4 linked regions of the Rhinolophus ferrumequinum genome follow. The protein of the gene in region 1 interacts with the protein of each later gene in a pairwise test. Links are inferred from orthologs where the notes say so. Each region holds a gene or a part of one and is shown in the gene's direction. Other genes may lie near its edges. The genes, in order: NCK2, CPSF6, RASSF7 and CHN1.

Region 1 (7,646 bases):
TCCAGTTTCAAAGTCCTGACTGGGAGGGTTCTACTGGCCAGTCCCAGGCCGTTCACTTTCATAGGACTTCTGAGAGTAGAGAGATGGAGGACCCATTCTGCCTGCCTCCTGCCAAGGTCAAACAAAAGGTCTCCCCAAACCAGGAAGGGGGCTGGTATGGCCCAGCCAAATCACAGCAGCTTCCCACCGTGTCAGCAACTTTCAAAGTCCATTTCTAACGCCACCACTTAAAACCTAAAGCTACTTCTGCTTCTCCGAACATGTTCTGTTTGGTACTTTTCATATTTAGCTTTATATTGTACTCATTTATATACTAGTCTTATCCTTCCTCTGAGATTACAACTCAGGTTATCTTTGTTTCTCCTGAATTGATTCTTATGCTTTACAAATAGAAATATACTCAATATGTTCAATTGAATTGAGGGTTAAGATCGAAGGCCAGGAAACAGCTGATGGGAGTGTTTACCATGTGTTAAACACGCAGTCGAGACATGTTTACATTGTCTCATTTAATCCTCACAACTCTGTACTTCGCTATCCCAGGCCCAGAGAGGTTAAGTGATCCAGATTCGCATACATGTAGGCTGCGGGCCTCTCAAGAATGGCTGACACAGTGCCTTCAGCCTCACCTTGGGCTTCCCGTGAGTCCAAGGAGAGGTGAGGGCGGCTTGAATGGAACTGAAGGAAGAGAGGGGCACAGGGAATCCCTTGCTGTGTCTGCACAGTTGGAGGAGGAAATCAGTGTGACCAAGTGGGGCACATACAGTAGGGGTTGCACAGTGACCCAAGCAAGTAACTTATATTGGGGCAGGGTAAACCAAGAGATGGTTATAGAAGGACTAAGTTTGAGAAGCCCTGGGAGATAAATCTCAGGATTTAACGCGGATGTGACTTGGGGGGAAAGGTTTATATTTTTTGTACTTTCAATACTTCATTATTGGAGACATTTTACTAGTAAAACAAACATGGGCATAGTAAGGGAAGAGGATGCATAAACATACACATTTTCAGATCAAACATCATCTTCAAAGAAATGTCTACCCATGCTGGTCTTGTAGTGGGTTGAATGGTGGCCCCAAAAGATGTGCTCACCTGGAACATGTGAATTCAACCTTATTTGGAAAAAGGGTCTTTGTCGACGTTACAAGGAAGAGTCTGGAGATGAGATCATCCTGGGTTTGAGTGGGCCCTACATCCAATGATAAGTGTCCTTATAGGAAGACAGAAGGGGTGAGAGGACACACAGGGGACCAGGACAGATGAAGACAGAGGCAGAGATTGGAGGGATGTTGCCATGAGCCAAGGAACACCTGGCGCCACCAGAAGCTGAAAAAGGCAAGGAAGGATCCTCCCCTGGAGCCTGCAGAGAGAGTGTGATTTCAGACTCTGGTCTCTAGAACTCCTAGGGAATACATTTCTCTTTTTTAAGCCACCCAGTTGGAGGTAATTTGTTAAAGCAGCCCCAGGTAAAGAACACAGGCCTCCTGGCGCTCAATTCCTCGGCCTTCCTCGGAGCACAAGCTCAAGCCCTGTGCTGTCAGGAAACTTTTGAGAAACTAGGTGGGCAATAGGGAGCCATGGGAAGTTCTTGAACAGTGGAGGGGCAAGATAGAAGCAATTTTTAGGATGACATTGACATCCAGTATAAATGTGGGGGAAGGGAGGAAGTGACTGATAGGAGACCAGGTGGAAGGTAGTGGGTGTAGTGGAAAGAACAGGAGTTCTGGAGTACGTGCAGTTCTAATTCCAGCTCCTTCACTTACCGTTTCAGTTTTTTTCATGTGTAAAGTGAGGATAATACTATTTATTGTGTGTGAGTTAGAGCTGATATATGTATTCAAAACAGATTGTAAGTATTGTTAGTAATCATGTAAAAATTAGGAGGTGACATTGGAGATGGGAAGAAAGATGCAAAGAGATGTTTAAGAATCACCAGGACTCGGAACCATAAGAATTGAGATTGAGAGAGATCCCAAGGTCAGCTAGAGCCCTCTCCTCACTGACCTTGGGGAGTGCTTGGAGAGAGGGACGGAAGAAGAGAATGGAAATGAGGTTTCACCTGGGAGCTGAGAAGCCTGGTGGATTCTTGGCCAAGCCGGAGACCGTGGAAGGAGGAGCTAGTTTGGGAAGGAGATGTGTTTCATTCTGAGTGTGATGAGCTTGAAGAGATGATGAGCCACGCAGACGGGCTGTAGATAAGCTGGCAACAGACCTGGGAGCCGGAGACATCCAGACTGGAAGCATACAAAAAATGATCAACTCTCTTTTAAAAAGAAGGCGTACATCAGAATAAAAACAAAGGGCCAAAGTCTGCTTTGGGGTATTACTGTTAGAGGTTGGGAGGAAAACATGTCTTGTAACTGGACAGAGCTGGGTGGGTCAGAAAGGTAGATAAATGGAAAGATAACCAAGTTTTAGGAAATAGCACAAATGCCCTGTGCTTCAGAAAACTTCATAGGATAAAGATTGAGAAAGGGGCATAGGGGTTTAGATAGAGAATGTCTTTGGTGACTTCACAAAGAATCAGAAAAGGAAGAGGAGTTCAAGACCCATGATTCAATGAAAGTTTACAAAGGAGACAAGTTAAAAACTGGGTCAATGTTGTTATACTTATTTTGAGTAAACTAATTTAAAATTGGGTCAGACCACTGATATCCTTCTGTTTTCCTTATCAGCATGAGAAAGGTTTTCCCAAAAGGATGAACTGAGGCAGCTTCTTTCCCAAGGTCAAACGGAGAAGGAGGTTGTCCCTGTTCCCTGATCTTGGGCCCATCCCTGCTCACAATGCACCTCCTTCTCTCTAGTGGCCAGTGGAATGCGCCCTGCTGCCAGGGAGTGTGCCAGGGACTTACATGGGAGCAAGGCCAGTGTTATCTCCCCATTTAGTAGATTTTAGATAGGTTAAGAAACACTTGTGCAAGGTTCCACAGTTGAAGAAGCAGATAGTCAAACACTAAACGGTGACTTCAAAGTCATACTGGCTCTACTTACCCTCTTCTGGTACTTCCTTTTGGGCACAAGGCAGGGGATGAGGGATTCAAATGATACTGTGATGCCACCTTGGGTAAATTGGTATTGCCTTAATAATAATGAGAAGCCAGGAGCCTAAGAAAGAATCTCATTAGTATGGATCCTGGCTACTCTGCCAGGAAATCAGAGTTATTTGAATAGTAGTGTTTCCTTTTGGGAAGCCATATGGGAAGGAGATTGGGGGAACAGACATCTGGATGCATGTGCCTGTGAAAGGGAACCTTGTGTCTGTTCCCTTCCTCTTGGGTTGAATCTCCCACGTTTGTGTATAGGTAATCCACTACGTGTGGCCAGGTGACCCGACCAGTCCCACTACCTTTTGGAGCCCACATTCCCTCAGCTCCTTACAGGAATCTGACCCATGGGTATGCTTGAGCCAGACACTGGAAGGGAGGCAGCAGAGATTGAGTTTCCTCTCCTCTTCAGAAGTGCTTCCGACACAAATGATGGAGTAAAAAAGTGTCTGGTTGGGAAAGTAAATAGATACAAGGCAAATAAATAAAAATGCCCACAAGCAATTACAGAGAGGAAGTGACATTTTTATGGAAGTCACTTTTCTGATGGACAACAGGACTGCTTTGCGTAGAGAGGCGTGGGAATGCTTCCGGGAGGGGGGCATCGTGATAAGAAAATCAAACAAACAAAAAGAGGATGGAAAGACCACCCACTGGTCATCGGAGGCTGGAAGTTGCTGCCTTTATTTCCTCTCTTGTTCCCTCACCCCACTTCTGCCCCCACCCCCGAGCGAGCCGTTTTAGGAGAAGGGACCCTTTCCTTTCCTCGGCCCCCACCCCGCGGTGCGTCCAAAGGTCTCCTGGTAGCCAGCCGGCCACGCGCCCCGCGCGCTATGCGTCCCCGAGCGCGGTCCTGTCCCGGTGCCGTTCTCAGTCCGGCCGCGCGCGGGCCCACAAGCTGCCCGCGCGTCCCCAGGTGGGTCTGGCTCCCGCCTGTGCGCGGGCGAGGCCGGCCCTTGGGCGGTGTCACCGCGCGGCTGGGAGGAGCGGCGGGAGGAGGGGAGGAGCGCGGAGGGGCGGGCGCCGCGCGCCGGGGGAGGGGTCGTCGCCACCGCCGCCGCCGCCGCCGCCGCCGCCGCCGCGGGGATCGTCAGGCCGGAGCCGCGCGGCCCAGCGAGCGGCGGGCGGCGGGGAGGCTTGGCGGCGGGAGGCTCGCGGGGCCCGGGCCGGCGGGGTCCGGCCGGGCCGGCAGCGTCCGCCGAGCGGCGGGAGGAGGGAGCGGCGCAGACAAAGAGCGGCGCCTGGGCGGGCGCGGCCGCCGCCCCGGGACCCGCGCCGCTGCCCTCCGGCCTCGGCGGGCGGCTGGCGGCAAGGTAAGCGCGGCCGGCGGCCTCGGGGCGGGGGCCGCAAACTTGGGCGGCTCCGCAGAGTTGGAGCGCAGCGGGCTCGCGGGTCAGGGCGCGCCCGGGAAGGGGCCGGGGGACCGGTCCCCTCCGCGCCCCACCGGTGCCCTCGGCCCCGCCGCGGCCTGGCCCGGTGGTCCCGCACTGCCGGCAGCGCCGGACTCCGCACCTTCCCCCTGCCGGCTCCCATCCTCCGGACGCCGGCACTGGGGTGGGGGCGCCAAGGGCGCGGGCGGGGGCAGGGGCCTGGGCGGTGGGTTCCCGGGACTGGAGACCCTCTGGCGCGCGAGGAGCGCCCGGCCTGCGGGCCGGCGACGGGCCCGGAACCGGGGGCCGGCGTGGGACTGTGTGGTGGCCGGGGTGGCCGGGGCGGGAGTCCCGGGGAAGAATAGCCGCTGATTGCCTGGCCTCTGCGCCGGGACGCGGGAGGCGGAGCGCGGCGGGGAGAACTTACTGTGTTTATTGGAACTATTTATGATCCCGCACAAAGCTGCTGTCACATCGCATAAAGGAGGTCCTCGCCTGGGCGAAGGGCGCTTTGTGCCGGGTCTCAGCCTGTGCGTCCTGCCCCAGATTTACAGGACTCTTACAGCCACCTGAAACAAAGTTTCTCACCACGCTCTGCCCTCTCGGTTTATTCAGGGCGATTTAACCACCAAGTGGTTCTGGGAGAATTTCGTGTGTGACTTTTAAGGCATTGACGGTAAACTCCTGTGTGAGCGTTGGTAGCATGTCGTTGTGTGGAGGGGTTTAGCTTGCAAAACGCTTAATTTGTAGACAATAACGATCGCCTTGAAAGGTTGCACGAGATGCCAGGGGTCATTGGCTAATGAACATCAGGCACCTAACTTTAACTAGAACCCACTGTTAACTAGCATTGTAACAGTTTCAGGGACAAAGCGCGAACGTGTGTGGAGTCGGCCCTTGTGGCTTCAGACAGTTCAGGTTGGCAGTTTCCCCCTTTATTTAGCTTTGTTTATTTTGCCAACAGGTTTAAGGCTGAATCTGCCAAGTTTGTGTCTGTCTGCACGATGGGGTGAGCAGGCCCCAGGGCTGGGACCCAGGAGCCTAAACCTTCGCGTAGGCCCACTCCTTCCGTTGACCCAAAAGGAAACTGAAGCCAGAGAGGCCCGTGGGCGTGGCTTACCGGGGCGCACAGGTAGGGGAGGCCTTTCCTGGTCCAGGCGCAGCCTTGGCTTCTCCCCTCTTCTCAGAAGGGATTTTGGTCGGAATGAGAGTAATTCAGGGTGTGTTTCATTGCATGGCATTTGATGTCTGATGTCATTAGCAACAGTGCTTCTCAAGTCTTAAAATAACTGAAAATTGAAATTGACCTGGGCTGCTTTAACTTATCAGAGCAGATGTAAACTTTGCTTCTGAACACTCCCTTAACTCACTTACCTAGTGCTCCTAGGTGAACCGGTAAATTAGTAACAGGATTCAAGCACATGTGGTAACATAAAGAGAATGGCAGTCAGTGGAGATACAGAGTAGAAATGACTTAGCCCAGAGATGGGGCCGCCGGGGATGCTGTTTTAGTGTTTGGAACAGGGATTTCCCGAGAATGGGTGTTAACCATGATAGTGAAGCAGTGACCACAAGGGAAAATCCTACCTTAATATTTCTCTCCTCGAGGTCGGTTAGATGTAGTCTTGTTTGAAGAAAGCAGTCGGATCTTAGTGGTCTTCTGGCTGCATCTCTTGAGGCTGAAATTAAGAGCTTCAAACTGTGGTAAGCTTCTGGAGGAGCTAGACTCAGCTTCCTCTCCTGGAGGCTTCACCTGGACTCTGAGCTTCTCAGGTTGGGCATAAACACTTACCGGGACTGATCATGGAACAAAGAGAAAATTGAGTGTGGCAAATTGCCATCAGAAGAATTGACTACTCTATCACCCCCTGTGCCCACTTGTGGAGAAACTGGCCCTTTTTAAATGGGCGGAGCTGGTTAAAGGTGCATTTCAAGTAGCTGTGCCCAGTTTTCAGGCTTTGAGTTCTGCTTTATTACGTGCAACATGCTTAAAGCCTCTTTATCTCTGATCTCTTGGAGCCTGCCACATTTCCAACCTCTGTCATTTGCGTTGGGGGGGTTATGGAGGTTTTGCTGCAAGCAGCAGGTCTTATGTACACAGTATTTGAGAAATGCCCTGTCATCCACATTAAATATACCAGAAGACTTCCTTGTATGTACACAAACTGGATAACCTTTTAAAGTACCCTAAAGACTCCCCGATTGCCCAAATGGCCTGAATCCTTTACTTGATCATTTGCATTGCTTAATTTGCCCTGGCAAGATGAGGCTGTGTCGCTTTCTGGGACACACACGCTTCTAACTGCCCCAACTGGCTTGCAGCATACGCTTGGGGAGAGAGGGCTTGTGGACACAATTCTCTGACTTTAAAAATAAGGCTGACTGACTGAAAAGCTGAAGATTGCTTGCTTGCTGGAACTGCACGGGAGGGCAGTGGACAATGTTTGGGAAAACTAGTAAGCTAACAATTTTTTTTTTTTTTTTTTTTCATAAATTAACTGGAAACTCCCCACAACTCACCCCAGAGGCTTGGGAAATTAGTTTTCCCATCTGGAGGGACTGCAGATGGGGTTTCCAAATTGTTTCCTTTACTAAAATGAGTGATGGAAACCCTTCATGGCATGTTTTCAAAGGGCCTCAGCTAAAAATGATACCATGTCGTGTGTTGTTAAATGCTCGAACTAAGGCGACTTAGAAGGAGGTCAACACATCCTTTTAATGGGTTATCACAAGTATGCAGTTAAAGTAAAAATAGTTTTTCTATTTCTTTAGGCCACTATGGTAACACAATTTAAAAAAATTAGATGTTTTTTTCTGCATTTCTCTTTGAACGGATCCCCAAGTATGTATGCTTATGAAGGTTAGCAAGTTGTAGCCCTACCCCCAACACACACCTACCCACAGGCATTTATCACAGTCTATCCTGTGGTTTCTTTGTGTTCATACCTTGTACACGTGGATACCCAACAAATACTGATTGAATGCATGAATATGAAGTTCTGAGCGTGTTGAGTTACTTAAAAAGAAAGAAAGAAACAAACAAACCAAAAAGCAAAGCAAAACAACTCAACTGCATAACCACCTGGTGGGTTTGCTGAATATTTCGCTTTTCAGTAAATTGTGTGTCTGTCCATGTGACCCTGAACTGAAAACTAACTCTGGGCAAAGCATTTGTTATCCTGGCCTTGTACGTTAGTTATTTAGTGCCACCTTACTTCTTTCTACCATTTGT
Region 2 (7,404 bases), on another chromosome or scaffold:
ATATTTACATTTACATATATTATAACTGCATATTTATAAATATTATACTAATAGAAATGAGTATTTTAAGAAAAAAGTCTGGGGACCACAGGGCTAAACTATGGTCTGTAGTATATTAGAACCAAAGTCATGTTCCTACAGAGATGGTGGCATTGATTTATTTGAAGTGAGATTGATAGCATGTGTGAACTATTTATGGATTATGGATTTTCCCCAATCATCAGGCCTTTGTCTACATGTTGTCATACCATAGGTGAAATGTGTTAGACAACCTTTGGGATGTCTGCTTAGCTCAAAGCAACCTTCTTTCATGGACAATTCTCCACCCTTTCCTAACTCACAGAGTAGAATTCTTAAGCCATGTTCTTAGTCTGTGACCCCTATCCCCTTCGACAAACTTCACTGGACTAGGAGTAGATTCCTATAAAAACTGAACTGATCAGTTGCTTACTCCTTAGATTTTTGCAATTGCAACCAAGACAGATGGCCATTTTCTTCAATGGTGGAGATCTGAACTCTGAAGTTGATGTTGCCATTGTCGCATAGCCACGTGCAAGGAAAGGCGAGTTCCTCTATACAGAGAAGTAGATGTACAGAGAAGCTTAGAAGGCCAGAAGCAGATATAGAGATAACCTTAGGACATTATTTACTTCTTTTCTAACCTCTCGACTACTCTTCTTAAATATTTTGATTTTATTATCGTTTATACCGTTTAGTGATGTCATTGTGGGAAGGGGTCCAGAGCCAAAGAATGTGAGAAAGACAAGAAAATGGACTCTCCTTTAGAGTCTCCAGAAAGAACGCAGCCCTGCGAACTCCTTGATGTTAGTCCAGTGAGATACATTTTGGACTTCTGACCTCCACAACTATAATAAATTTGTGTGGTTTCAAGCCACTAAATTCATTACAGCAGCAATAGGAAACTAATGCAGGTGGGCTAGAAGGAAGTTCTGCTGCAACAGTTAACATACCATTGTCGAATTCCTCCCAAGGCACTTTGGACTTTCAATTCTATGTAGGTTTGAATAATAGAATTTCAGAACTGAGAGGGACCTTCATGGACGACTTGAGGGAAAGGACTACTCTTAGGTTACTTGGCTAGTCAGTAGTAAAGCCAGGACAAGAACTCAAGTCTCCAATCTTTCATCTGCGTACATTAATAATGATAAGATGTCTAACGAAGACGTTGGTGCATGGAAGGTAGTCAATAAGTGGTGGAGTGTTTTGTTGTTATTATTATGCATTTTTGGTCATCTATAATGATATTTCATTTTTAAAACATCGTCAAGTAAGGAGGTACCCTGTGCTAAAGAACGAAAAATTCAGCTGAGTAAGTTTAGAGACCTACTTGGCTTTACTGAATGACTTATGAATTCCTCAGCATCCCATCTAGAAAAAAGAAAGGTGCTCCAGGAGCTGTATAAAATGGATGGCTTTTATATGTAGAAATGAGTGGGGGAGAAAACATTAAGAGTGAACTATTAAGGGCACCTCTTCTTAGCAGAAGGCAGGGGGTCTTATCAGATAGATTACCAAACTAGTGGTAACCAGGAAATTCCAGACTGATTGGTTTAAAATTTCACTCCTGAGAGAGGCTGAAACTGCAATGAAGTTAGGTATTATTAAGGCATGGTAGGGCTTACTACAAGTGACTCCATTTGGGGTCTGTTGTTTCTTTTTAACACCTGAAACAATATTTTAAAATTATCAAAAAGGTAACCAGGGAGCGAGTGAGGAATCACCTGGTCAAGAAGCAGAAGAGGATTGGGTCTATGCATTCAGAGTGCTTTTGCCCTGGGAGACATTTTTAGATTATTCAAACGATATGGTTGAGAGGTGGAGCTGCACTTTTGACATCTAGGGGAACAAAGTATAGAGTCTAGGACCTGCCAAGAGTGGTGACTCTGGTAAATCAGGTTTTGGGCTGGTCCTCAAAAGGACAGCACCTGGGAGGTAAAGGCAAGCCAAACTAAATTAGTTTCCTCAAGGTTCCCAATCATCTGGATGTGTTGGTGCCCCAAGGTACCTGCCAGAAGAAAATGAAAATCCTTTATTTAAAAAAAAACACAAAACCATCAGAAGTCTCACATTGTATCTTCAAGGGTTTCAATTAAAATGTCAAGCACACAAATATAGTCAGGTAAAAAGACAACACGAGTGAGAACCAGCATGAACACTATACAACAAATAACTAGAACAAAGAACCAACAACAGACCCAATGAGACTCCAGATACTGGAATTATCAGTGACCCAGATCGTATACCAATGATACCTGCTACATTCAAAGAGATAAAAGCCAAGATTGACAATTTTGGCAAAGAATTAGATGCTAACACCATAGGAGAGAAAATTAATAATATAGAAAATAGAAAAAAAAAATCTATTCAAAATGAAGCATACGGAGATAAAAGGATAAAAAAATAAAAAAGAGAAGGTAAGAGAAATAGTAAATAGTAAACAGAAAAGATATAACATTTAATTGGAGGCATAGAGGAAAGAAGAGAGATTGGGGCAGAAGCAATATCTGAAAAAGTAATGACTGAGAATTTTTCAGAACTCATGAAAGGCATCAATCAATGTATTCAGGAGGCCCAGTAAATCCCAAGCATTATAAATAAAGAGACATACACTTCCAAACATATATAATGAAAGAGCAGAACACCAAAGCCTGAGAGAAAAAAAATCTCAAAAAGCAGCCAGAGGGGATAAAACCCCCCTGATAACCTTCCAAGAAACAGCTACACTGACAGCTGACTTTTCACAGGTAACAACAGAAGTCGGAATCTGGAAATCAGTTTTAAGTACACTGAAAGAACATAAACTGCTTCTATCATCACATCTTCTCTGACTCTCTTGTTTTCTTTCACTTATAAGGATAATTGTGATTACTTTGGGCCCACCAGGAAAACAAGGATAATCTCATCTCAAGATCCTTAATCATATCCCAAAGTCCCTTTTGCAATGTAAGGTAACATATTCACAGGTTCTGGGGATTGGGATGTGGCCATCGATGATGGGCCATTATTGTGCCCACCACATTATCTCAAAACTGTCCCCATCTTTTATCATGAGTGGCTGTTCTACGAAGCCCCATGGAAAAAAGGAAATTAGTACAGTATTTCCAAGAAGCAAAAGAAGACAGGGCATTTTGCATACTACCTCATTTAAAACCACCATCAACCTTCAACCTTGACTAAACAAATATTATTACCCCTATTTTAAGGATTCTAAGGTTGAACATGAGAGAAATTAGGTAACTTGACGGAGGTTCACCCAGCTTGCAAAGAGTCTGACTAGAAATTTGTATCCAGATCACCAGATTGACGTCTATGACTCCACGCTTTTTCCTCCATACCAAGTACAGATATTGCTTGGTTCATCATTGTATGAATGATTTCTGGCCAGTTCATATCTTGGGAAACAGACTCTAATTTGGTGGGTTTTTAAATGAATGAAAAAGAAATTAAAATGGGGGGGGGGTCAGGTTTCAAACTGGAACGATATCTTTGAAGTATGGGTGGCAAGAGTTTTTTCTTTACTGAAAATGGTTAAATCACTTTGATTTTATTAAGGCCTTTTTTCCCTCTTCTGTAAAATGGGATGTTTAGACCTAGTAACACCTTGGTTCCCTTCTCACTGGGATATTTTGTGATTGTAAGAGAGAAACCTCTTGCCTCAAGGAGCCTGCCCCTTGTTGGGTGGGCTCTAAGCTGACTGCATTTAAATTAGAGGTATCTGAATTATTCCAAAGAAAACGAACGTCAGATCTAAGAAGGAAAAAATGAAGAACAATGAATTGGGGAAGAGGAGATGAAAGAAGATGACCTAAGACAGAGCCGGAAACATAAACAGCACGCAAATAACATAAGTCGCATGCAAATAACTCAAGCTAACCATCAACGGGTTTTCTGGCATTTACGAGGCAAATGAAACTCTGCTGGTCTCTGAGTAGGGATGCAGGGGTAAAGACCTTGTTCTCGCTCTCAAGGCGCTCGTAGAATGCGAATTTACACTTCGTATTTAATCGTGGACATGTAACTCCCACCTTTCTAGAAGCCCGAGCTGTGAGAAACAGTGGGAAGAGAAAATATTACCACACGCTTGCGTGTGCCTGGGGCAACGTGGAAACAGTCTCTGGAAACTGGGACGTCCCCCCGCCGCCCCCCCCCCGCCGCCCCCCCCCCCCGCGGCCCCGCTCTCGCCTGCAGGCCTAACCCAGACACACAAAAGAAACTGCCTCTACCCTCAGGGACGCAGTTTTTCTTCTGGGCCCGCCGCCTGGCGAGGTTGCACGGGAGACCGCTGCCCCAGGCAGCCCCCCTCCGCCCCCGCCTCAATCCCCCAGGCCTCGGAAGTGACGCAGCGCGCCCCGCCCCCGCCGCCAGATCCGCTGCTGCTGCCGCGGCGGGCGGACCTGCAGGAGGCGGCGGCGGCGGCAGCGGCCGAGGCCGAGGAAAAATGGCGGACGGTGTGGACCACATAGACATTTACGCGGATGTGGGTGAAGAGTTCAACCAGGTACGTGAGGGCCCCAGGCCTACGCCGCCGAAGCGGGCAGGGTTGCGGCCCGGACGCTGAGCCGGGCCAGTCGTGGGCTGCGAGCCGGCGCGGCTGCAGCCCGTGCGCCCTTGCCGCCCGTGGGCCGTGCCGCCCGGCTCCGGCGCGGCGTCCCTCTCGCCCCTCGTTCTACCGCGACGTTTCGCAGACCGAGGGCGGTGCGGCCAGCCGCGGGGGCCCAGAGCGCGGACGCGGGCCGCTGTGCAGCCGCCGTCGGCCCCTCCCTCGCCGCTACCTCGCCTCCCATTGTTAGCGGCGGCGGGCGGGCGGGCGCTTCCCGCCGCACTAGGCCCGGGCAGTGGGGCCGCGTGTGTGTGGCGGGGGTTCAGCACGGGTCGCTACCGCGCCCCCTCCCTTGCCGCCAGGTCGAGGAGCGAGCCCGGCGGGGCGCGCGCCGGCCCCCGCCTCTTCCCCGGCCTTGCCTGCCGCTCGGGCTCCGATTCCTGTCGTCGCTCCATTTTGTCTCCGTGTCCGCGCACGGTCGCCTCATGGAAGGCCGCATTCACCGCCCTTTGTATCCCGCGCGCCGGGTTTCCTGGGCCCTCCTGCTCGCGTTTGCGACAGGTTTCGGCGTGCCGCCTTTCTCCTCCTCTCCTCACACTTTCAGACGGCGGCTTGGATGTGGGCGCGTTTGCAACAAGTCCTTTGACTTTTGGACCCATGTAGATCCTTTAAAAGTCGGTGCGCTGGGTCCTGCCTCGATGGTAGAGGGCTGGCAGTGCCTTTGAGGCCCAGTCGTTCTTGGCCTTTCTGATGAAAATACCTGTGAAGATAGGTGGTCTGGGCAAAAGGAAGACTTAGAAGCGCGATGGTTGGATGGAACAGGAAAGATGGTAGCTCACCAAGAGATCAGTGGAGTGGTTAAAATAAAGAATGCCCACCTGAAATGCTTACGCTATAGTTTAAAAATAAAGGGATGTAGATGTGACCCGATTTTCAAAAGCAAAATGTTAGATACCCTCCAAGGGATCTGCTTTACATTTTGAAAGGGTGCAGAAAGTGAGAATGCAATGTTTTTCCGGTATCTCACAGGCCACCGTTGGCCTAGAACTAAGCCGCGGAGCTGTGATGTCTGATGTTGGGCATCCTTGCAAAAGATCTCGTACTAGAGCAGTGACGTTTAAGCTCTAAACCTGCTGTTCACATCTTTACTGTCTTTTATGTAGTAACACATTTTTAAAAATCAAATTGTGCCTAACTGCAGTGCACCTGAAAGCTTTATTTTTTGTATTTTCCAGGTCCGTATAAGAAACTTAATCAAATTCTACTGATTAATCTGTTTGTTTCTTCCTTTCCGTTAAGGATCTTATTTGTGACTAGGGGCTCAGGATGTGTTTTTTTTTTTTTAATTGCGCAAGCTAGTAATCCTTACCGCTCTTTTTTTCGGGAATGACTTTGTGCCCCTGGTTTAAATATTAGAAACAAATTTTCAGTTAGCTTAAATGTTTCCTACTCTGTTAGAGACTGAATATGTTTAAATGTAACCCAGTGTAATCAAAGGTTAAGCTTTAAAATTTTTGTTTTTATTGTGCTTATATTTTGAATATATGATGCCTTAATGGTGTCAGTGACAAATTAGAAAATTCTGGAGTGCTACAGTCAGATTCTAATGCTTTTAAGTCGGACATAGACTTTCAGGAATTTTTATTTATCAAATGAGTATAACATTTCATGCAAAAGAGGGCCATACCTCCATACCAAGTAAAGGAACAATTAAGTGTTCAAATCTCTTTTCATTAGATTTACTTGCAGGAATATACATTTGCTTTGCCTTTCTACCCACAATAAAGGAAAAATTGGTGTGCAATTTTAGAAGTTGAGCTTTCTTTAGGACCTCTCCATGAAATATATTTTAGGCTTTCATAAACTAAATTGGGGGTGGGCTTTTCTCTATTCCATATTGCTGTATGAAATGATACATGCTTATCTCTGTGCTGTAACTAGTGCTTATCTCTATGACTGAGCAGGAGGTAAGATGAGATTAGAATTTTGTGGCCCTAGTGAGGAATTTACTTCATATGGTTCTTTTTAAAATGTAACTTTGAAAAAAAAATTTATTTTCAATAAAAAAAATAAAATAACTTTTTGTTGACTTGTACCAATAGCATTATATCTCACACATAGTTGTATAATTTTACCAGTAAAATATTTGTACTTTTGGATAGATTAATGGGGGGATTAAATGGAAGCTTTGTTTTGTTATTTTGCATGTCATTGGCCTTTGTACTCTATTGCTTGCTGTAGCAATTCCTGTACAAAATATGGCCAAAACAAGGTTCATCCTGTTTTTTCAAATGTTACTATTATTCAAATAGTTTTCTGAATTTTCATCAGAATTAGAGGCAACTACAAAATTATTACTGATTAATTTGCACTCTATTAGCTGATGACCTTATTTGTATGTGTATAGTAAACATTCACTTTATTGTAGTTGAGTAAAATGTTTTACTAAGTATAACCAGTCTTGATTTACTTTAGCTTCTAAACTGCTGTAAACATTTAAAAAATTTTTTTGTTCTTTAATGTGAACTGCAGTTTTCATTGAATTTGTATACGTACTTTGAAATTCTCTGTAGAGTATGTATTTCCCATTTCTTCTATTTTAAATGGTCGTACTTTCATGAAGGTGTTTTTTGAGTGTGTATTTTGGGAAAGTACAGTATAAAGTGTAATGGAGACAGCTGGATAGCTCAGTTGGTTAGAGTGCCATGCTCTTAACAAGGTTGCCGGTTCGATCCCCACATGGGCCACTGTGAGCTGTGCCCTCCACAACTAGATTGAAACAACTACTTGACTTGGAGCTGATGGGTTCTGGAAAAAACACACTTAAAATAAATAAAAGTTTT
Region 3 (8,167 bases), on another chromosome or scaffold:
ACATCTGTGAGGCCAGCTGGCCTGCAGCGCCCTGAGGGTCCACGTGGGAGAGGAGCAGCAGGGGGGTCAGATTCAGGGCAGGAGGGGTGGCTGGCCCCAGGGGCTGAGGGGTGCAGAGGCATAGTTCAAAGTACTTTTTTGGGGGGAAGGTTGAACCAGAGCACGGAGGGCTCCAAGAGCACCCTAATCCCTGGAGATGAGACCAGAGAGCCCCCCCGCCACAACCTCTTTGTGGGTACAGAGAAGGCCTAGAGGTTGCTGACCCCGTTTAGGGCTTTGGGCAGAGATCACAGCCCTGCAGGACAGAAGGAAGGAGCCAGGGGAGTTTGCCCCACCCCACCTGCAGGCTCTGCCTGTGAGCCCCTGTGGAAGCTCCTGGCCTGCGACTCTGTCTGCTCAGAAGCATGTCCTGGTGCCCAGGGCGGGTGCCTTGTCACATGCACTGGAAACCTCATGTCCCGCTGGGGGTTGCTAGAGTCAGAGTCGGCGCCCCCCGAGCTGCTGGTGTCCCCCAAGCTGCTGGTGCCCCCCAAGGGCAGAGAGCTCCACTCCACATTCTTGAGATGCCGCTCCATGTGTTGTGTGCACAGCTCTGAGCCCTGGTCGTCCGGTGGTGAGGCTGGTGGGAGTTCTGGGGGCAGCCATGGCCCAGGGTTCCTGTGGGCCACCATTTGCTCATTGGCCTCTTGGCTTCACTCCTGGACCCCAGCCCTGCCCCCATCCAGTTTTCCCAAGGCTGGCAGAGCACCCCAACTTGTGGTCCCAGTCTCTAGGACCCGGCCCGGGAAAGGGCTCATGGCAGGACACAGAGAGCCCAGGAGCCTTTCCCTGCATCCCTGTTCTACAGATCAGAACACTGACACTTGCAAAGTTCAAGTGACTTGTCCAGGGATACTAAGGGTGGAACTTGGACTCTGGTCCACATCGGCCAAGGCAAGCCCCCCCTCCTGGGGCCCCTGAGGGTGTCCCTGTCCAGCCCAGTTACCTGTGATCCAAGGTCAACTTGATGTCAGTCAAGAGATTGGGGTATCGATGGGCGATGCTGTTCCAGTCCACATCCTCCAGCCGGAAACCCTGGCCGGGACGCACGCAACAGGCATGTGCCCCCCGCCCCCTGCATGCCTGCAGAGCCACGAATGAATGTGGGGGACATTGCTCACCTCCCAAGCAGAGGAAACCTCATCACTCTCAGATAGGTCACTGAGGTCCATTAGGGTCTCTGCAGTCACCACCTGCAAGAGGGGGCCCGGAGGCCAGTGGGCAGGGCCTGGGAGAAGGGCACCACTCCCTGCAAGTCACCCCTTCCCTTGGACCTGAGGCACACAATGGCTAAGTTCCAGGTGGGCAGGGCCAGGGGCTCCATCCTCCCTGTCCCAGGCACCCTGGCTATCAGGGAAGTCCAAGGAGGTCTGGGAAGGGGACGTGGGTGAGCAGCATGGACCCGGTGCACAGGCTCACCTCCACGCTGCCAGTAGACGACCGCAGCATACGGCCCAGCCAGGAAGAGCGAGCCAGATGCAGGAGGCAAGACTTGTGCAGGGCCTGCAGCTCAGCCTCCCGCTGCTGGAGCACGGTGCTGGTTTGCAGCAACTGCTTCTCCAAATGCTCCTTCTCCTGCTCCAGTGGGGTCCAAAGGTGGGTGGGGCCTTCTCAGACCCCGCCCCCAAGACCAACCCTGGCCCAGCTTCCTGAGGCCTCACCAGCTGGGCCTGTTTCTTCTGTTCCTTTAGCTCCACAGTCAGCTTCTGGACCTGGATCTGCAGGAGCTTTTCCTGACCACAAGAGCTCCTGGGAGAAGGGGTGATAGCGCCCCCCACCTCTGGGTCAGCAGCCAAGGAGGGCATAGAGTGTGGCTGGGCCAGGTCTGGCCAGGCCTGGTCAGGCTCTGAGAGGTCTGGGTGGAATTCAGCACCCACATTCAGGGTTATGGTCTGGGCAGGTTTACAGTGTATCAACTTTTTCACAGTTAAGGTTGGGGATTAGGGTCAGGTAAGGACTAGGCCTAGAGGCAAAGGTCAGGGTAAGGGTCAGGATCAGTTGTTGGGGTTGGGGTCAGGCCAGGGCTGGGGGACTAGTGTTTCTCTGCTGACCTCTCGAGTGGAAGTCCAGCCACCTCCTGCAGGATGTGGCCATGCCGGGCATCCCGGCAGTTCTGGAGGGCACACCGCAGGGCCTGGATCTCCAGCTCCCGCTGCCTCCACAGCAGCCGCAGGGTGTGGGGGTCCAGGCCCTCAGGGGACAGCCTGCAATGCCCGCAGCCCAGCTGCCTGATCAGGCCCTGCCCTCTGGCTGGCCTGGCTCAAGTGGCCGACCGACCGCCCCTCCATCCCCTCCTTACTGCAGGTTGATGGAGACTGCTGGTGTGGAGCTTGGCTTGGTGTCCTTCAGGTATGTGGGAGTCACCAGGTCTGCAGGTGTGCCAGCTGGAGGCCCCAGATGGACACTGACTGGCTCCCTGTCCACCAGGGACGAGAGAACACCTTCCTTGGCTTCTCCAGCCTTTTGGCAAGACTTGGGGGCCATTCTTGATGTTCTTGGAAGAGCTGAGGGGTGGTGGGGCTGTCTGCCTGCGTCCTGGGTACCTCTGCGGGGCTCTCCTTCCATGGAGGCCCGTGTGTGTTTGGTGGGGTGTGGGTGTGGGTGTGTGTTTCAACCCCATAGGACACCAGACTGCTGGTCATGTGGGTGACCACACCTGTGTGTTTCTGACCAGGCCAGGGCAGCAGGTTACACCCCCAGGCAACATGTCCCTGGCTCTCTACATTCCCTGTGGTCTCCTCCATCTCACCCTTGCCCTCTGGGACCTGAGGTCCTGCCCCAGCCTACAGCAGGGGTCCCCAGAGGTGCTGGTCCTTTACCCTCCACACCCATGTCCCCCCAGACCCAGAGCCCTACCCCCAGCACTCACCTGAAGCTTGAAATCCAGGCAGGCCTGGGGAGAGAAAGGCTCTATGGCGTTGCCATGGATACCAGCACCCAGAAGGGGAGGGGCTGTTTGTTACCAGGAGCCTCTGGGGAGACCCCAGACCAGGGCCCACCTCCTCCTCCTGGGGGCTGGTCCAGCCTGAAGTAGAAGCTGTGAGAAGCTGAGCTGCTGCCCAACTCATCTCCACAGGCCCTGGGGACCACAGAGTGGCCAGCAGGGCCTGCCATGGTCAGCGCTCAGCCCAACACCCCGAACCAACCCTGAGGGAGGCTCCCAAGGTCCCTCCCCAGCCTGACCATGGCGATTGATTGTGTGCATTGCTGCTCTGTGTGTCCACGAGCCAGCAGGACCTAAGAGTGCAGGTCTCAGTGGGCCAGGCTGATGAGCTGAAGAGGAAGCAGTGGACAGCCCTGGGGAGCTGGGGGAGGGGCCTGCAGAACTCTTAACTCCCACCGGAGTGCCTTCCACAGCCTCTGCTCATCCACAGCCTCTGCGCTGACGCTCACGCCAGAAACCTCGCCTTCCCCTGTCCATCTCCACCACCCGGACCTCCGCAGGGTGCCCTGGGGACATACCCATAACCATGACAACTGTTCCCTCTACCCTGAAGCAAAATTGAGGCCCCAGACCTAACCACAAGTGCCCTCCAGCCTTTGCCCCCCACCTCACATTCATTCATTCATCATTCCTTTATTCAGACTTTCAATTTCTGTTCCTGTGGGGCCTCCTGTGCTGGGCAAGATGGGGGCAGGACAGGGGCAGGCCGGGAAGACCCCCCACAGGCCGGCCTGACCGTGGCAAACAGGCTCTCAGTGCCGTCCAGAACATTGAGACTGAGGGGCCACAGCCGGTGAGCTTGCTGAGGCTCTCCCATGGGACAGCAGGGCTGGCCAAGCAGAGGAGCGTGTCCACAGCTCAGGAGGACACTGGGCCCCACTGGGGACAGGAAAGGGTTGGGGGAAGGAACTTCACACAAGGAGCCCAGGATCTTTGTCCCCGGCAATCTTGGGGCGGGCCCCCTGCCCCACAAAGGCTGTCAACCTGATTGCAGCCAGAGAGGGACAGCGGCCCACCAGCTCCACCTCCCCTCCTGGGGGGCTCACAGCCCCACCCCCCGAGCCCTGTGTGTCCCGACGACGGCCGCCGCGGGCCCTGAGGGAGCGGGGTCGGAGGGGCCCATCAGGCAGGGGGCCCTCTGGGCTCTGGCGGGCTTTCGGGGTCCCAGGCCAGCGTCCCCTCCCTAGACAGGAGACTCATCAGAATGGGCGGCTTCCGAGGAAGTGGGCCAGGGAATGGGGCCAGACACCTGCCCGCGAGCTGCCGGCTGGGACGCGCTTCCGCGTGGTTCGCGGGCTTCCGGCGTGAGTGGACCCGGAGTCCGGGCGGGAGTGGACCCGGACTCCACCCGCCACTCGGAGCCGCCAAGCCCCGCCCACACCTGGGCGCCGCCGGGGGCGGGGCGGGCGGGAAGCCAATGGGGAGGGGAGGGGCGGGCACATAAAAAGTGGCCAATGAACGTGGGCGCGGGCGGGCGGGGCGCACCGAGGAACCAATGGAGGCGCATAGGGCTGGGCGCACGGGCTGCGGGCCAATGGAGTGGCGGGCCGGGGCGCTCCCGCTGCGCGGCAGGAGGCAGGTTGCGACCGCGCCGGGCGCTCTAAAGGAGCCGGTTCGAGTCCAGATCCCGGAGGCCAGCGGGAGACCAGGTGAGCTGCGCTGAGACGCGGAGCTTGCTAAGTGCGGAGCCGACCTGGGCGGCAACTTCTCCCGTGGGGACCGCTCCGCACCTGCACCCGCCCCGCGGCGGGGTTGGCGGCCTCCGGGGCGAGCGCAGCGATCGGCGGGAGTGGGAAGGGGCTGCCTGCGCCAGGCTCGGTGGGTCCGGACCGCCGAGGTCTGAGTCGCGGGGGAGGGTGCGTTCCTATGGCAGCGGGGTGCCGAGTTCACGTGCCGCCGCCTTTGGGTGCCTGGGGACGGCACCCCGCGGGAGGGGCAGTGCCCTCCGCGCCAGGTGACTGGAGGGGCAGGAAGTCCTGCATCTGGTTAATGATTCGCCTTGTTCCGGGAGTGGGGCGGGGCGAGAGGAGCTACGGAGTGGGAAAGCTCCCGAGTGCTCCGGGAGGGCGGCTGGTTCCCCCTTTGGAGGGGGGCTGGTCTTGACTACCCCCACCCCAGGAATGCGTGGCCCGCGGGTAGGGCTAGGCACCGAAGAGCAGGGCGGCTGCCCTGATCCAGTTCTGGGGGTGAGGGGCAGGCCTGGAAGAGCAGGAGACGAGTACCAGGCTGTGGTGGCGCTAGGCAGGGCTTGACCCTTTGGCCTTCGCCTGCAGTCAGGGATGCTCTCAGGACCTGCGGCCATGGAGCTGAAGGTGTGGGTGGACGGCGTCCAGCGCGTGGTGTGTGGAGTCTCGGAGCAGACCACCTGTCAGGAAGTGGTCATCGCACTAGCCCAAGCTATAGGTGAGTCCCCTCAGGGACAGACAGGCCCAACAGGTGGACCTGGGGTAGGGCCTGGCCCTCTGGCCCCCGTCTTCTCCCAAGGAGGGTGGGACCGGTTGCTGATCCCTCTTGCTCTTCCCCAATACCTGAATCCCAGTGGACTGGGTGGGGGGATGTAGGCTGACCCCTCTCCCCCACCCCAGGCCAGACGGGCCGCTTTGTACTGGTGCAGCGTCTCAGGGAGAAGGAGCGGCAGCTGCAGCCCCAGGAGTGTCCAGTGGGTGCCCAGGCTACCTGTGGACAGTTTGCCAGTGATGTCCAGTTTGTCCTGAGGCGGACAGGGCCCAGCCTCGCTGGAAGGCCCTCCTCAGACAGCTGCCCACCCCCTGAGCGCTGCCCAATCCGTGCCAGCCTCCCCCCGAAGCCGCGACTGGCACTGAGCCGTGAGCCCCACGAAGCACTGACCTTCATCAACCTGGGCTCCAGCCCTGTGCTGCCCGAGCCTGTGGCCCCAGTGGCCCCCGTGCCAGGCTGCTGGGCAGACCTGCAGGGCCTGGAGCGGAGGGTACAGAGGAACGCTGCGGAGCTGGGCCAGGAGGCCTTCTGGGGGCAGGAGCTGCGGAGGGAGCAGGCGCGGGAGCGTGAGGGGCAGGCACGCCTGCAGGCGCTGAGCGCAGCCACAGCCGAGCATGCTGCCCGGCTGCAGGCCCTGGACGCCAAGGCCCGCACCCTGGAGGCCAAGCTGCTCCTGGCCGCAGAGGCCCCTGGACCCCCATCGCCCACAGCATCGGCCGTGGAGCGCCTGCGCCAGGACCTGGCTGCCCAGGAGCGGCAGAGTGCGGAGCTGCAGGGCAGCTTGGCCCTGGTGAGCAGGGCTCTGGAGGCTGCGGAGCACGCCCTGCAGGTGAGCTCACGGGATCTCAGCCCTGACTCGGGGCACTGGGGGGTTAGCTTCTGATCACACAAGGGAGAGCACCAGGCCTGGAGCTCCATGACTGTGCCTGCTGCGGTCCCATGTGCTCCAGGCCCAGGCCCAGGAGCTTGAGGAGCTGAACCGGGAGCTGCGTCAGTGTAACCTGCAGCAGTTCATCCAGCAGACGGGGGCTGCACTGCCACTGACCCCACAGCCAGACAGGGCTCCTGGCACACAGGTCAGTGGTTCTGGAGGGAAGCCGAGCCCGTGGGGCACCCGCACACAGCTCCACACTGACCTGCTCTCCCCATAGGATCTTCTGCCTCCAACCAGTGAAAAGCCCCTCCTGGGAGCCCCCCGGAGTCCTGCCCTACTGTCCAGTCTGAGCCCAGAGGGTATGTCTGTCTCCCCCCCGGGGTGGGAGGAGGTCCTCCTGTGACTCCTCAGCCTCTCAGCCTGTGTCTTTTCCACAGTTGTCCCCATAAGGCAGAACTCCTGGAGGTAGCAGCTTCTGCCCCAGAGGAAATGCCCAGTGCCAGCCCACCCCTGGGCTCTGATGACATGAGCGATGACAGCTGAGGCCAGCCCAGCCTGGACAAGAGAAGAAGAGTCGGTGGTCGTAGAGGACTCCTTCCCCCATGCAACTGGAAGCCCTCATGCCCTGGGCCCGAGACCTCGGATCCCTGAGGTTTCTGCTGCAGGAGACAGGGGGAGGCTGGGGACTCTCGCCTTAATCCTTGCCAACTCTGCCACACCCCCTGGAGAAGCTTGGGGCATGGCCAGCTCAGAACTTGCGAGGCCCCAAAGGCCACGGTTCCTTTTGGGGATGGCAGAGTCGTGGACACTGTGTTCAGTCTGTGGGGATGTGCTCACGTGGGAGATTTCTTCACCACATGTGTGCATGCTGCCTCCCCCACCGCGACACTCGAACCTCAATAAACTGCCGACAGTGATTTGACTGTCCTGAGGCCACACTGGGCAGGGTCTGTGGGGTCTAGCCCTTGAGACTCCACTCAGGGTGCCTGGGGAGTATCTGAGCTGCCCAGGGCTGGCCACAGCCAGGGCTCCTGAAAAGGGGCTCTCCCAGGGTCAGTGGCCAGTCAGATCCAAGACTGGTGCTCCCAGGGCCTCACGTTTCAGGCTGTTATGCCCACCCACCCTCAGGGGCTCTCCTCCACAGCCTGACCTGCCGCTGGACATGGGTGGTCTGGGGCCTGAAGAAGCTTCAGCCCTGGCTTAGGTTTCTGGATGCCTCCCCCACTGGCCTGCTCACCAGCAGCACAACTGCCGCCCACTCTGGGGTGGCTCCTGGACGTGAGGACTCGAGGACACACCAGACTTGCCTGTCAGGTTGACTGAGTCTGTGAGCTCGTGGGCGGGCCCAGGGAGCTTTGTGGGCCCTGCGAGGGTGTGGCTGCCACTCTGCTCCCCAGGTGGGTGGGAAGCCTCTGCTGCGTGGCTGCAGCCTTGGAATCAGGGCAGGTGTCCAAATCCGTCCTGACCTTGGCCAGGCTGCAGGCTCCCAGCCTCCCCGCCCCGAGGGCTGTGGCTATGATTGGAATTTGTGGGGGATCTCTAAGCCTTGGGTGCAGCAATGGGTGGTATTGAGAGACGGAACGGGGACATGACAGATCATAGGGGGTCTTTGTGCTGTTTTGGGGTAGGCATCCTTGGGATGGAGTCAGCCTTCTCCTGGGGTGGCCCCTGAGTCGGGCCCGGTGCTCCCCACTTCTTTGGGGCAGACCATAGAGGACATGAAGTTCTAAGCGTGAGGATCAAGGAAGCTAAGAGCACAGCTTGTGGGGAGTAAGCAGGACTGGGGACTCCCTGCCTGAGGGGGCGCAGAGATGGGGAGTGGCTGGACAGGCCAAGTGGCAGGAGACTTCCAA
Region 4 (7,416 bases), on another chromosome or scaffold:
ATGGCAGGCCATGCAAATATCAGGTAGAGTATGTATTAGGAAAGCCCCAGATAAAAGAGAGGGGGAAAAACCCATCTGGCTTAAGCATTTGAGGAAAACATTATGAAAAACAGACCAAATTCACTCTAAACAAATTCACAGTATGGACATAAATACTTCCACTGGTAATATAAATAAGTATAGGATAGAGAGAATGTCACACTGTGAATATTTTTAATAAATAATTTAAGTCTTAATCAGCATAGCAGAGGAATAGAAAATGTTTTTATGACATTAGCAGAAATGCTCTCTAATTTTTTTCTTCAACAGCAAACTTATGCCCTATTTTGGGAACTGTGCTAATAGCACTGGTATTCCTAGTGTTTAAAGCTGTGTTGGCATGATGAAGTGCTATAATTTTAACTTGTTATTGCGAGGCAGAAAATGCCTCATTAATTTCTACTTCATTCAAAACTGAGGAACAAATCAATATTTACCAATGGGAACGAAGCTAAATGACTAACACAAAAAAACCCCAAAACACTTGTGATAAGTTGCTAAGTCAAAATGTAGAAAAAAATTAAGGCTTATTTAAATTCTGTTTGGTCAACAAAACTTAAATAAAAACGAGAAACCATTTTAATAAATTTGAAATGGATTGTTCAGTGCATACTTTACATTTTAATCCTTATTATATAAAAAGCAATCCTTTTTAAAGGGATTGCTTTTTATATAATAAATATGTTAGTATAAATACTGCAGATGAAATCGCAGTAACAATGTTTTAATAAAATTTGACTTCCTTGTTACACTAGGTATTTATGAAACTGTAACTTATGTCTCTCAGACTTCCAAGATTTACCAGCACTTTAAATATATTGAATAGTCAAATAAAAATGTCTTGTTTTACCCATAATTCAGTTAATTGAAATATTTTAAAACATCTAAGAATGACAGCTAAACTTAAGAGACATTAGAAATAACTTAGTCCTATCCCTTCATTTTATAAAGGAGGAGGATAACCAGAAAAAGTAAAACATTTGCCTAAAAATTTAACAACTAGTTAGTAACAGAGCAAACAAACCTAGCTCTTCTAGATGCTTGCGTGTCAGGCACAAAATTAAATCTTTGAATGAAACCATAAATGTTTTGAAAAATCAATAAATTCTTTGCCCTTTTTAATAAACAATCTAAGGCACCACCCATAATAATCACCCCCAAGTGGTTAACGCCCTTCCTTACATTGAATCTGTAGCGGAAAGGCTATTGCTTTATTTCCAGCTAAGTGTGAAAAGAAACACACTCTATTTCTCATTGGATGATACAGTGTTATAAAAACTAATAAGATTTTCAAGACATAGCACTTTAATCAAGTATAGAAAGCATTTTGTTAGGTCATCAAAACATTAGGAAATCAATTGGAAGGAATTACTTGTGGAAAGCTAGATGCTTAAAAAGGGAAACATGGCAACATTTCAGCTGTATTGTTTCAAATAGTATCCTAAAAACATCTCTAGGGATGAGCTTGTCTGTTTGGGTATGGGAGTGCTGAGACTTGTACGGAAAAGAGGAAGGGGAAGGGAAGAAGGTCCCCACCTGAACTGAAGCTGAGTCTATAACTAGGATTCAATTGTGATCAGCCACAACTAGTGAGTGCAAAGCTGCTCCAGTAACCAAAGCTTGGCTTTATGATGGAGGTGTGAGGATGAGCACAGGACTATTAATTTCCCTCTGACCCCCCTCCCCCCAAGGATAACCCCCAAGGGACAGAGAGAATTACCAGCAAGCTGAGGTGTAACACCAACACTTTGATGCTCTGGTACCTCTCTAACAGAGCTGAACAAAGAGAAGCACCTTTCCTCTCCTAGCCTGATTGGACACATCGTTCTGAGTAGAGGAGCCTGTGAATCAAGACTCCTTGAAACAAAATTCAACTTCCCAAACTACAAGACCCAAATATACAAAATGGCTCAGAACAAAATACCCCGCTCCCACCCCTTGCTACTCTGCTTCTGATACTAAACAGATTTTTCTTTTTAAATTTAAACCACATACTCTTTAAATTGGCGGGGGATGGAAGGTGGGGGAAGTGGTCAGGGAGGACAACAGATGGCCTAAGATTTTCCTGTTAGTTCTGCCACTAAATAGATGGACACATTTGGGAAAAATCTTTTGACTGCTGAGCCCTCAGTTTCCTAATCTGTAAATTGGCGTAGTTTGGTCCCTTCTTGAAAATTCCATGTATTTATGTGAAAGGGGGAATTTTTAAAAGCGTTAATTATAAAGGCAAAACTTTCTGAGATTATAAAGGGTATTTGGGGGCTATCCTTGGATCCTGGAATAGTCCATAATCCCCCTGAAATAGTGTGAACAAATTTGGGTGAGTCTACATGCACATAAACATTTTTCCAGGAAGAGGGACAGTATTTTCATTAGAGCCTGGAAGGGAACTTAGGTTTCTTCACCCTTCTTTGATTGAAGACCACTGGTTGAGACAGTAAATGGTGTCTTCAGTTTCTGATTTATCTGGTTGTAGTCAAATCAGCAGCAGTCTTTATATAGTTATAAAATCTGTCCCACAAAGCCTTGTGGAGTTTCTCATTTATTTTCATGAGCTGTGCATTTGTAATTTTTCATGAGCAGTAAAGCTATTAAAAAATCGAGTCCTTTTCGTTAAAGATTGAAAATTCTGGGGAATTTCAGGATTTATTTTGATATTATTGGCCAAAGGAGAGCCATTTTACTACATCAGAAAATTTCAAGCCTATAGCATCTTAAACATTTGCCCATTCATATTGAATTATTTTACTGTCTTTTTTCTTGAGTTAACTGACGTGAAACAAAAGGCTTGACTCCTCCTTCTAACTCGGTTTTCTTTTTCTTTCTGATGTTTGAGTCAGCTGTGAAATGATGATGAATTAACTGTGGTTCTATTTGAAGTAGTAATTTTCATTTTTATAATGATTTTGATGCTCAAGATAAATTAAATACAACCTATTTATATAATATCCTTAACAGAATTAATTGAAAATTAGAAGGGGAAAATGACATTAGGGAATCTGAGGAACTGAAAGAGGAAAGATGCAGGTAGGAAGAAATGAGAACCAAAGAGAAAAATCTCAAGGTTAGATGCTGATACAGTATCAAATCCATAAGCAGAGACACAAGAAACAAGGAGGAATTTTTAAAACAGGGAACAAATACAGCAATGAGAGAACACTGAATTTTTGAATACATTAAATGCAAACGACAAAAAAAATCGTAAGCTTTTCAAGAACATCTTTTGACTGATAATCTCAAGGCGTTACATAGCTTCTTGTTAATTAAGGCAGAGACAGAGGCCAGCAGAGAACATCACAGAAAGAAGGATGTTGCCAGTGATTCTCAGATAAATGCAAAAAGCTCAGGGGAGCAATCTTTTGTGGTAAAGGAGAAGTGCCAATCAGTGAGGAATGTTGGTTTTCCCTGAGACAATATCAAAGCGGTGTAAAGTAAAAGGAAGAAAATTAGGTTTAAACATTGACCTTGTAAGAATTTAAGTAAATCCCAGGTGCTTTTTAACCGACTCCTGTTCCCTCACACATGACAATCTGATCAGAATTACTCCTTGCGGCTCTTAAAGTCCAAATGGAATGGAAAGCAACATGCAGTGCCTCCCTCCGTCCGACTTCAGGCTCCCTTCCTGAGTCACGTAGCTTCAGGTCACAGGCTCCAGACTCTCCTTTTAACCCCAAGGGCGCCAAGGGAGTGACAGACATATCCTCAAACGAACCCGATCCCCAGATGACCCTGGTGGGGTCCTTGTATTCATGGAGCCTTCACGCGTGACTCTCTTCCTCTGTCAAGTAGCAGCTCCGTGTTTCTCCTCTCTGCGCCTTCTCCAATGCCATTCAAAAAAAAAAACAAAAAAAACCCTGGGCTTTCAGCGAAAAGGCACACCGCCCCCGCCCCCGCCGGGCTCCAGGAGGCCGCCTGCCGCGGGGCGGGGGACACTCCTCCCGGACCCCGGCTGGCGGGGCGCGCGCCCCCGGCCCTCGCGCGCGCCCGTTGCCATGGGAACGCACTCAGCTCGCCCGCCCGAGGGGCAGGCGCCGCGGCCGATCCAGCAGGAGACACTATCGCAAGATGGCGTCGGCGAGGCCGCGGGATGCGGAGTGAGCGCGCCCCGCCGGGGGCTCTGCGAGGCTGCTCCTCTCCCCCCGCCGCCGCCGCCGCCGCCACTGCGGCGCCGCCTCTCCGCCCGCCACTGCGCCTCAGCCAAGCCTCCCCGCCTGGCAGGTACCGCCGCCCGCGCGCGCTCCGCGTCGTGCCCCGATGGCAGCGACAAGTGCCGGCTCGCCGAGGGCTAGCGGGTCTCCCCCGGCCCGGTGCGCCCGACACTAACGCGTACATAACTTTTTCTTGCAGCGGCCCCCGGCATCCCGGCCTGCAGCCTCCCCGCGCGCCGGCGTTCCCACCACGCCCCTCCGAGGTGAGCGCGGCGGGCCGATGCCGTGATCTCGGGTGGGCCTGGGCGGAGCGCGTGGACTGGCGGCGGCGGCGAGCAGCTGGCGAGCGCCTGTACAATGGCCCTGACCCTGTTTGGTAAGTGCAGCCCTTTGCCCGCGCGGTCGCAGGTGGGCCGCGCCCCGGAGCTCGGGGCGGGGGCGTGGGGCGCCCGGGGAGGGGACGCCGCGCGCGCTGTGGCGCGCGGGCTGGGGCCGTGGACTTGGGGCCCCGGGGGCCCCGGGCTCGCTCCCTCGCGCCTCTCCCATTGTTTCCTCTCCAGGCAGCGCTGATGGGCGTGTGCTCCCTTGGCCAATTCTGGGATGGGAGGCTCTGAGGTCCTGGGTGTTTTGTAAACCGAGGATTCTCTAAGATGCCAACTTGGGAGCGAAGTTAGCTGGTTGTTTCCAAACCTACGATTGTCAAGTCGGTAAATAAAGATCCTGGAAAGTTTATTTATTTTGGACAAGGTATCTGTGCATCCCACCCTCCCTGGAATTGCCAAATGCATGTGTTGATTCTTGTTGGAATTGGGGGCAGTTTTTTGGACTCGGTCTTTTCCTTTGTAAACTAGAATAAGTGGTGAACTTAGTATTTGTTAAAATAGAACATGTTTGCCCTAACGAATATGAGAGCAGAAGAAAGTTGGTTACTGGAAGTAAGTAATCTCAGGAGAATATATTTCAGCATTTCAGGAAAGAAATGTTATTTCTGTGATGTAATTACTGCAACACTATTGTTTCAGTGGTTAAGACTTCAAGGTTTTGTTTTTTTTTCCCTGGAGTCAGCAATGACAATGGATTGGAAAGGACTGAAAAGATACATTCTTTCCTTTTACAGAAACAGATTATAGTACATATGTACCTTGCTTTAAGAAAATTCAATACATACAGCATGTGAAAATTTAGATGTTCAAAGTATACAATTTTTCAAAGAAACAAAGTACAATGATATGTACAATGATATGTAACTGATAGCTTACAAGGACAGTCTTAGTAAATTAAAGTATCAAGTTTCCAGTTACGTTTTAATGTCATTTGATCAGTTATAGGCATCACCTACCACAAATGCTTTTTGATGTAAATACTTAAGAGTGAATTAATAATCTCTTGGAATCAAAGTTACTTTTATTTAGCCATCTTATTTTATAAATTAAATTTAGACCCAGAGAGGTTATTTACCAAGGTCACATGACCCTTTTGTAGCAAAACTGAGCTTAGAACACAATTTGCCAGTCTTCAGTCTGGGGCTGTGTTTATTTTGCCCAAATACCCACAGTACTAGAAATGACATTTCTTATTTAGTGTTGATTCTCCAGAGGTGTTTTAAAACATGTTTCTTTTTTCTCTGAAAGTAGTAAAAATCTCACTGTGTTTTTCAGTACACTGTATCTAATCTGCATTACTTAGGTAGTAGACTAATTTTCCTTAACTGTGGACTTTTTTTGTACAAAAGTTAGAAATGATGAAAGGCTTTACTCATAGTTGATATTTTCTTTTATTGAAGCTTTTATCTTACACTATTGTAGCTAATACATAGCAGTAAGATTTCCAGAAGTCAATTTCTCTTTAAAACTATTTCTGACTAAATCATTGTCCTTCCTAAAGAGACAGTCTGCATTTTCAAGGTTTGTTTTCAAAGGTACATTTACAAATTAACCACTTTTAGAATACTGACATTCTTGATGAATAAAACAGATAAACTGGGGAGAAGTGGAGTGTGTGACAAGACTCTTAAAAGGATTCTGAAATTGTTAAATCTTTAACTCCTGAAGTGGAGATGAGGAAAGGAAGAACATGGAATTTACCTTTAGAAGAAGGTATGAGAAACCACTCCCACCCCTCAGAATGAATAAATTATCTTTAAAATTTCAAAGTTGTGGGAAAATAGAATTTAGTTTACAAAATCAAATTTGGTTAACAATTTTTAAGAACATTTCTCCGTTATAAAGCAAAGTACACCTGTGTGTAGAGGCTATTTTTTCAGTAATGATAGAGCAGCAGCTGCTCTCAAAAATGTGGTTGCATTCCACTCATTAGTCACTGAGATGTCTGTTAAAAATGTTGATTCCTTTGCCCAGAGACCTACAGCATATGCCTTTCTGGGGAAAGGGGATTTTCAAGGGACTCCCCTGCGATTCTTATGCACACTCAAATTTGAGAACCACTGTATTAAAGATAAATACTACTTGTCCTCATACTTGTCCAATTTTAAATAGCTTTTGTATATGTTAAGAGCAGTCTTCAAGGGTTAGAAGAAATGGATTTTATTTTAGAAATTACTAGTATATAACTAGTTGGTCTTAGTCAGGAGTACCTACTATCCCTTTATTTTTACTCTTTTTAAAAAAATTAATTCTTTCTCTGCTTCACACTCAGCACCTTTATATTTACTCTTAATAACCAATTTAGAACACAGGAGCAATGAGATAATTAAACTTCTGTGAGATGGGACTGAGAGAGAGGTGGTGAAGACAAGATAGGAACAGGAAACTAGACAAAAGGAACTTACCACTCATCAAAGTCAGATCTCAATAGATTTCTACCTAAGCCTTCCCAAAGTAACCCATGCCAGGACTCTACCTTGTGTATCTTGCGTGTGCTAGTTGGTTAGGCGATCGTCTTAAGTCTGCTTGGGTGCGATAGTAAAATACCATACACTGGGTGGCTCACACAGCAGACATTTGTTTCTCACAGTTTTGGAGGCTGGGAAGTGGGGACCAAGGTATCTTGAGATGATTCCTGGCTTGCAGACATCCAGCTGTGTCCACACATGTTAGGGAGAAACGGAAAGCAAGCTCTCTGGTCTCTTATAAGGGCACTAATACCACCATGAGGACCCACCCGCATGACCCCATCCAAACCTAACCTCTTCCCAGAGGTCCCATCTTGAAATACTATTATGTTGGTGGTTAGGGCCTCAACATATGAATTTGTGGGGGGACACAATTCA

What was found.
Region 2: the proteins of NCK2 (region 1) and CPSF6 interact in binary tests that used the Homo sapiens proteins (3 or more experiments, as listed by UniProt). The two-hybrid records come from large-scale screens. The link is inferred for Rhinolophus ferrumequinum from reciprocal best matches to the Homo sapiens genes NCK2 and CPSF6.
Region 3: the proteins of NCK2 (region 1) and RASSF7 interact in binary tests that used the Homo sapiens proteins (3 or more experiments, as listed by UniProt). The two-hybrid records come from large-scale screens. The link is inferred for Rhinolophus ferrumequinum from reciprocal best matches to the Homo sapiens genes NCK2 and RASSF7.
Region 4: the proteins of NCK2 (region 1) and CHN1 interact in binary tests that used the Homo sapiens proteins (3 or more experiments, as listed by UniProt). The two-hybrid records come from large-scale screens. The link is inferred for Rhinolophus ferrumequinum from reciprocal best matches to the Homo sapiens genes NCK2 and CHN1.

What each region holds. Positions count from the first base shown.
Region 1 is NW_022680445.1:376,357-384,002, forward strand, and holds the start of NCK2 (cytoplasmic protein NCK2), read left to right. Parts: upstream 1-4,234; 5' UTR 4,235-4,357; intron 4,358-5,437; exon of another isoform or gene 5,438-5,546; intron 5,547-7,646. UniProt on the Homo sapiens protein: Adapter protein which associates with tyrosine-phosphorylated growth factor receptors or their cellular substrates. Maintains low levels of EIF2S1 phosphorylation by promoting its dephosphorylation by PP1.
Region 2 is NC_046293.1:65,272,532-65,279,935, forward strand, and holds the start of CPSF6 (cleavage and polyadenylation specificity factor subunit 6), read left to right. Parts: upstream 1-4,335; 5' UTR 4,336-4,459; coding exon 4,460-4,519; intron 4,520-7,404. UniProt on the Homo sapiens protein: Component of the cleavage factor Im (CFIm) complex that functions as an activator of the pre-mRNA 3'-end cleavage and polyadenylation processing required for the maturation of pre-mRNA into functional mRNAs.
Region 3 is NC_046294.1:319,002-327,168, forward strand, and holds RASSF7 (ras association domain-containing protein 7), read left to right. Parts: upstream 1-4,976; 5' UTR 4,977-5,103; coding exon 5,104-5,118; intron 5,119-5,256; coding exon 5,257-5,386; intron 5,387-5,568; coding exon 5,569-6,269; intron 6,270-6,390; coding exon 6,391-6,516; intron 6,517-6,591; coding exon 6,592-6,673; intron 6,674-6,751; coding exon 6,752-6,783; 3' UTR 6,784-7,241; downstream 7,242-8,167. Other genes in the region: LMNTD2 (lamin tail domain-containing protein 2), read right to left, coding at 341-657, 986-1,074, 1,161-1,232, 1,459-1,614, 1,701-1,788, 2,091-2,243, 2,339-2,423, 2,909-3,107. UniProt on the Homo sapiens protein: Negatively regulates stress-induced JNK activation and apoptosis by promoting MAP2K7 phosphorylation and inhibiting its ability to activate JNK.
Region 4 is NC_046291.1:50,264,902-50,272,317, forward strand, and holds the start of CHN1 (N-chimaerin), read left to right. Parts: upstream 1-4,153; 5' UTR 4,154-4,257; intron 4,258-4,386; 5' UTR 4,387-4,544; coding exon 4,545-4,563; intron 4,564-7,416. UniProt on the Homo sapiens protein: GTPase-activating protein for p21-rac and a phorbol ester receptor. Involved in the assembly of neuronal locomotor circuits as a direct effector of EPHA4 in axon guidance.